Linked DNA regions of Elephas maximus indicus. Each later gene encodes a partner of the first gene's protein in a complex. Links are inferred from orthologs where the notes say so. Each region holds a gene or a part of one and is shown in the gene's direction. Other genes may lie near its edges.

Region 1 (3,746 bases):
CCTAATAGAACTAATGGACTCCCGGTCTCGGAACTCAGCTCTTGTGGGACCCTGCTTATTCACCAATTGCTTCTGACGTTCTGCAGCGACACTCCCCGAATGCAAACACCACCGCGCGAGGGTTTTAGAGTGCCTGGTGAACCCTGATAACCTAGGCTGTGTCCCTTTTAATGAGCAGACGCCCAGGACAGCAGGTGAGTGGCCCCTTTTGCTCCAGGAGCAGACGTCCCAGACATCTGCTCAGAGGGGCTGCCCCTGGGTGCAGCTGTGTTGGGAGCTAAAATAGCAGAGGCTATGTTTTTGGGGGATGCTTTTAGCTGATCTGGTATTAAACCCGCTACATTTCTCAGAGCAGAAAGCCTCAACAAGCCGACTGTAGGTAATCATGAGGGAATGTGCGCGGGAGGAGACCGGGATGGTGGGTTCCGCTTGGCATGACCCGTAGTCAGTGCCCTGTGCTTGAGCTGCTTGCCTCCCAGCCCTGCCGGGTGCTTTCCTGCTTGTGTTCTTCCATGAGAGCCATGGGTGGCTAGCTTGTATATACCCTGTGGGGTTCACTGCTGACGAGAATTCAGCGTTTTCAAATATTCCTGAGAGCTGTCAGGGTTTGATTGCTGTCTGAAGTTGTCTGGAGGCACATGTCTGGGAGAGACAGGGGCTGCCTGTTTAGGCCTCGGTTTGCTGATTGTTCTTGAACGTAAGTAATTTTGTGTTTGCACTGCTGTGATGCCGTGAATCTCAGAGCCACGCGTGTTCCAGAATGATCAGCTCCCCTCTCCATTTCCGCTTTGATAAACCTTGACTAATTTCTCTAATAGCTAACAAATGTCATGGTTTGAAAAGAGGTATTCCAAATCCCTCCTTGGTCTCAACGTTTTATGCTTTGGTGGCCTTCAGTAAACAGACCACGATTAAGAAATGCCAGGTACGAGACTCAGGGGAAGGAGCTCTTCCCGCTGACTTAATGATGTTAACATCTTCCTTTCAGTTTTCCATGTCGTGCCATTAATTGATGGAAACTCCCCCGAGCCCCCCAGTCTACAAGAATAGATTTGCAAAAGGCAAAGCCAGGCAGAGGAGAGGACGCATAGTGGCCGTATCATCAGCAAAGGCTGCTGGGGCGGGGTCTGCTTTGTCTTGAGACGGGGAGGGGAAAGGGGAGTGGATGGAGAGCCCTGCTCTGGAAAAGATGAGGATTCTGCACCTTTGAGCTCCAGGGAGGTGAAAGTGCCCAAGTAGGCACCCCAGTGATGGGCGGCCCCCTTCTACCTGGCAGGATTTTACTCATGGGCCCTTCATTCATGATCCAGACTCCTTTGGAATCAGCTGCAGGGGAAACTGAGAACAAACCCTTAGAGGGTGAGCAGCTGCATCCAGGGAAGCTGGGTTCCACTTTCACCCAGGGGATGGTCCCAGCCGTGCTAGGGACCATCAAGAGTCCCCCTTCTGCCCTCTGCGCCCACCCGCCCTTCCTCCTCTGTCTAGATTCAGGCCTCCCCCAAGCACCTCATGAGGATGAGCGTGGCCTGGCCTTCCTGACCTACAGACCCGCCTTTGGGCACCAGGGCTCCGCCAGCTCCTTGCTCCTCACACGTCCTCCTGGACTAGGTGTGTGCCTGTGGCAGGAGACTGCCAGTTGCCTCACCCACGCCACAGGTGGCCTGGCCCACAGATGCGTTCCCCAGTCCACAAGTTGTGTTATAAGGGAAGATCAGAAGCAGGCAGACCACGGCCCCACAGAGAGGTGCCCCTCTAGCCCTGGCCAAGGAGGCCAGGAAGGTGGCCAAGGCCATGATCTTCCCGCTCTGTCCCCACCCAGATCCCCAAAACTTGCCCACGATCCACCTCGTTAGGACAGTGTTGTCTGCGAGGGGGGCAGTTACTAATACCTCCTTCTCATCCTATGAAGCGTTTTCTGGTGACGTTTGTTACCTGCACGGCTCACTGCTATCATCCGAGCCCACACTCCAGTGTCACCTCCACAGAGAGCCCTACCTGCCCTGTCTATACCTTTTTCTCTGCAACACTTACCATAGCTGGTGTCGTGTCCCCGTCTCACTGCCAGTGCCCTCCCATGAGGGTGTGTCCAGCCATGTCCCGAGCCCCCACCTAACTGCCCAGCAGCCCATCTCCTGCAGCCGCACAGCCACCTCATGCCGTAAGCCTATGCTCATCCCCACTTCACAGATGGGCAGACTGAGGCTAGGTCGGCCAGGGTGCCTGCTGGGGTCACATTGTGAGTAGGCAACAGGCTGTCCCTGCCCAGAACCTGGCGCTAGGCCACCACCCAGCCCTGGGGCCCTGATGTGTGTCCAGAGCCAACCAGACCTGTCTGCTTTCTATGAGAAACATCTTGAAAGCTAATGGCTATTGATCCAGCTGGCCGGGCCTGGATGGAAAATATGTGCTGAGCAAGTCCTGCTTTTCGGTAAGAGCCACAGCTGCAGCTGGCTGCGGTCTGTCTGTGAAAGGAGGTCTACCTCCATCTGCCCCACACTGGCTGACAGGTGGCCTACCGCCACCCTCAGAAGGGCCTGTGATTTGGGGGTGGGGAGGCCTAGCCGGCCAGAGGATGGGGAAGAGGAGCTGGTACTGCCACCTATGGGTGCTATGGCTTCACTTTCCAAAGCAAACGTGTACCCCTCTACTGCCTGGAAGGTCGGGTTTCATGCAGGAGCACCCTCGCCTACTTTTTTTTAGTGCCCTTCAAAGACCTCAGCCCAAACCCAGAGGGAGCCCAGAGGTCCTGGGGCCTGCAGAGCCCCATGGGGCTGGGCCATGGTAAGGGCAAATCCTGGGCTGGGAGTCCCCCCTCCCCAGGAGGGGATACGCTCAGAGACCACCAGGTGCGTCAGAGAGCCAGCCCAGAGCCCACGGTGCCATCCAGCCCTGCCAAGGAAGCGCCCATCACAGCCCCTGGTTGGCCTTTGTATGCCCACGCCTTCACTGATTATTGGACGCATAGCTAAGCCCCTGCTCTGTGCTCGCTCTCGGACAAGAGTCCCTGCTCTGAGGGCCTGACCTTCAGGGGAATCCATGTAACAAGTGAGTCAGAGATGTCTCCAGAATGTTAGATGACAAGAGGGGCCGTGGAAAGCTGCAGCAGGGAAGAGATGTGGCATGTCAGGGTGGGGTAGAGAGCCTGGGGGCAAATGTGTGATGGTCCCGGGTACCCAGTGTCCAAGGTGTCCAGGCAGATCGAGGTGTTGGCGCAGCCTACCCCAAAGAGACACTGACCTGTGGGGACAGGCGCTGTCCAGCGCTGAACCAGGGTGGGTAGTCCAGGGCCTTCATGGAACCCTGAAGGGGCTCCAGGGGCATGCCCTTGCTCATTGGTTTCCCTAGGATCCTTTCTGAGCCCCTCTTCCATACTGCTGTGAGCCAGGGGATTGGGCGGCAGACATAGGACAGCCCAAGCTCTCAAGCAGCATGACCCAGGGAGTAAGAGAGACCTACAGACAGATCCTTGCATGGAAATGTCTTTAGGCCATGAAGGGGATGATGAGGCTCCAGGGGCGTCCCTCCACATGGAAGTGCACACGTGGACAGAGCAGTCAGTGGTCAGCACCTGTTCTATAGAGCCCCAGGCTCACAGAGCTCATCGCTACCACCTGCCCCTGCCAAGCAGAGTGGGTCAGACCTGACCCCAGAGCACACAGAGGAAGCGGGGGTTGGGGGTGCACCTGGGGTGTCTCCAAGGTGACCTTGCTCTCCACCCTCACCCTCACCCTCAAGCACCACTACAG
Region 2 (3,441 bases), about 130 Mb from region 1:
TTGGTCCTTGGTTCTTCCCAGTAGCTGAAATCTCAGCTACAAAGTTAATGTGAGCTATTCACACTAGAAGCGAGGTACCTGAACCCCTTTAAAGATCCATTTTCTTCAGACTCCGGGTGCGAAACCCATCAGCACCCATTACTCGGTTTGGCTTCTCATCCAAGCGGGAGATGAATTATTTAGAGACCTCCTCGCCTGGCAGCGTTCTACCCTCAAGTGAACTCAGGGTGCTGGCACCAAGCTTGCCTCTTCCCCCAGGGCGCCCACCTGGCCTGGTACTCCCTCTCTCCCTCCCTAGCCATCACTCGGGTCTGAGTGCGTATCCGCTGCGTCCTTCCTCCTCGGCCCCCTCCGCCGCGGCCACCTGGGCTCCGCCGGCCTCGCCTCCCCAGTGCCGGCCCAGGTGGAGCGTGGAGGACGAGGAGGCCGGGCATTCACTGGGTCGCGGGCAGAACTCGCCTGGCCCGCGGGCCGAGGGGTGGGCCCGGGATGGGCCGAGAAGCGCCCCGCGACGGGGACGCCGCCACGCGGACAGGGCCTGGGGCCACCGAGGTGCAAAACGCGGCGCTTCCGTAAGGCAGAGGGGCGGCGAGGGCCCGCGCGCAGGGCAGCTCCCGGCGGTACCCGGGGATCGGGGCGCGCGCCCGCGCGGTGGGCGGGAATCCGGAGGGGACGCGGAGGGGCGGGCGCGCGCCCGCGGGGAAGGGGCGGAGGGGAGCGAGGAGGAGGGCTGCGGAGGCGTCTCTCCCGAGGAGTCCGGCCAGCGCGCCAGACGCAGACTGAGCCTCGCGGCGGCCGCGGCGACAGCAGCGGCAGCAACAGGCGGCGGGCTGGGCTCGGGGGCGGAGGCGGCCGAGGGGCGGGGAGCGCGAGGAGGGGCGCCGCGGGCCCGCCGCCGCCGCTTCCCCGCCGCATGGACGAGCACCTCAGCCTCCTGCGCTCGCCGCCGCCGCCCTCCGCCCGCCACTGCGCCCACCCTCCCCAGCAGCCGGCGAGCGGCGGCGGCGCCCACACCCTGCGGAACCCCGGCCACGCCGAGCCCGCCGCCGGCGCCGAGCTGCCGCCGGACATGACCGTGGTGCCCGGGGACCACCTGCTGGAGCCGGAGGCGGCCGACGGCGGCGGGGGCCCGCCCCAGGGCGGCGGCGGTGGCGGTGGCGGCGGCGGGGGCTGCGACCGCTACGAGCCGCTGGCGCCCGCGCTGCCGGCCTCCGGCGAGCAGGACTGCTGCGGGGAGCGCGTGGTGATCAACATCTCCGGGCTGCGCTTCGAGACGCAGCTCAAGACCCTGTGCCAGTTCCCGGAGACGCTGCTGGGCGACCCCAAGCGGCGCATGCGGTACTTCGACCCGCTCCGCAACGAGTACTTCTTCGACCGCAACCGGCCCAGCTTCGACGCCATCCTCTACTACTACCAGTCCGGGGGCCGCATCCGCCGCCCGGTCAACGTGCCCATCGACATCTTCTCCGAGGAGATCCGCTTCTACCAGCTGGGCGAGGAGGCCATGGAGAAGTTCCGCGAGGACGAGGGCTTCCTGCGGGAGGAGGAGCGGCCCCTGCCCCGCCGCGACTTCCAGCGCCAGGTGTGGCTGCTCTTCGAGTACCCGGAGAGCTCCGGGCCGGCCCGGGGCATCGCCATCGTGTCCGTGCTCGTCATCCTCATCTCCATTGTCATCTTCTGCTTGGAGACGCTGCCCGAGTTCCGCGACGAGGACTACCTCGCCTCGCCGTCCCAGGACCTGTTCCAGGCGGCCAGCAACGGTACGTCGGGTGCCCCCGCGGGAGCCTCCAGCTTCTCGGATCCCTTCTTCGTGGTGGAGACCCTGTGCATCATCTGGTTCTCCTTTGAGCTGCTGGTGCGCTTCTTCGCTTGCCCCAGCAAAGCCACCTTCTCTCGAAATATCATGAACCTGATAGACATCGTGGCCATCATCCCTTATTTCATCACTCTGGGCACCGAGCTGGCTGAGCGACAGGGCAATGGACAGCAGGCCATGTCCCTGGCCATCCTGAGGGTCATCCGCCTGGTGAGGGTCTTCCGCATCTTCAAGCTCTCCCGCCACTCCAAGGGGCTGCAGATCCTGGGGCAGACGCTGAAGGCTTCCATGAGGGAGTTGGGACTGCTCATCTTCTTCCTCTTTATCGGGGTCATCCTTTTTTCCAGTGCGGTCTACTTTGCCGAGGCAGACGACCCCACTTCGGGTTTTAGCAGTATCCCAGACGCCTTCTGGTGGGCAGTGGTAACCATGACAACAGTAGGTTATGGTGACATGCACCCAGTGACCATAGGGGGCAAGATTGTGGGATCGCTGTGTGCCATCGCTGGTGTCTTGACCATTGCTTTGCCAGTTCCTGTCATTGTTTCCAACTTCAATTACTTCTACCACCGCGAGACAGAAGGGGAAGAGCAAGCTCAGTACATGCACGTGGGGAGTTGCCAGCACCTCTCCTCTTCAGCCGAGGAGCTGCGAAAAGCAAGGAGTAACTCAACTCTGAGTAAGTCGGAGTATATGGTGATCGAAGAGGGGGGTATGAACCATAGCGCCTTCCCCCAGACCCCTTTCAAGACCGGCAATTCCACTGCCACCTGCACCACGAACAATAACCCAAACTCCTGTGTCAGCATCAAGAAAATATTCACCGATGTTTAATAGATGATATAAGTGACATACTGTGCTCAGTACTGTGTGGAATGTGCCCCCCTTGGTCTGTGTATACCCTTGTTTTATACGTTTCCGGACCATTCATCAAGGCAAGAACACTGGGACATGGAAGGCGCACTTCATTCTCCCTCGCCCTAATGCTTCATACTGAGACAGGGTCTGTTTTGCGAGTGGCCTGCATTCTCTCAGCTCCCCTCTTTTTTTTTTTTTTTTCTTTCTCTCCCTGTCTCTTAAAATTGCAAACAACAAACTGTTACCTTAAACTTGATTTCTAGTACACGCCCTATTAAAAAAAAAAAAAAAGTACATCCTGGGGGGAAATGAAACTAAAGAGCAGTTAGATAACAGTTTGACCTCAAAATATAAAGGTGGTTTTTCTTTACTGAGTACAGCAGACAGGTGCTCAAATGATGCTTCAGTTGGGTGGACCCTCCGACATTATTGAATATTTAACTCACTGCCTACCCTGTGGATATGTGGATGGAAAGTCTAATTAGAACAATGACTTGTAAACCCACCATAAGTTTATTTGGTTTTTGACTGGAATTTCTATTTGAACCTTCCTCCTACTGGAATTTTAAGGGTCGCTGCAACTTTGAACAAAGGGAAATGCCCAAGATGTCCTGACCTGACTAATTAGTTTAACTCTTCCTGGCTTGTTAAGCATTTTGAAAGTATTAGGTTAAAAGTTAATCCCCACGAAGAAGTTCCTTGCTTGTGTCCCAGCCAAGACCTAACAAAGCCTAGAAACAGATGTTTTTCAGTACTGCTGAGAGAAA

Evidence for each region. The genes of interacting proteins can lie anywhere in the genome.
Region 2: the proteins of KCNAB2 (region 1) and KCNA3 are in contact, whole or in part, in a cryo-EM structure (PDB 7EJ2), measured with the Homo sapiens proteins. The link is inferred for Elephas maximus indicus from reciprocal best matches to the Homo sapiens genes KCNAB2 and KCNA3. Residues at the interface, in NP_001186789.1 of Homo sapiens: Met196, Tyr199, Ser200, Arg203, Glu231, His234, Lys235, Ile236; in NP_002223.3 of Homo sapiens: Pro133, Met137, Phe140, Pro142, Leu143, Asn145, Tyr147.

Annotation. Positions count from the first base shown.
Region 1 is NC_064821.1:45,216,562-45,220,307, forward strand, and holds the start of KCNAB2 (voltage-gated potassium channel subunit beta-2), read left to right. Parts: upstream 1-1,162; 5' UTR 1,163-3,746.
Region 2 is NC_064821.1:170,520,516-170,523,956, forward strand, and holds KCNA3 (potassium voltage-gated channel subfamily A member 3), read left to right. Parts: upstream 1-790; 5' UTR 791-913; coding exon 914-2,650; 3' UTR 2,651-2,875; downstream 2,876-3,441.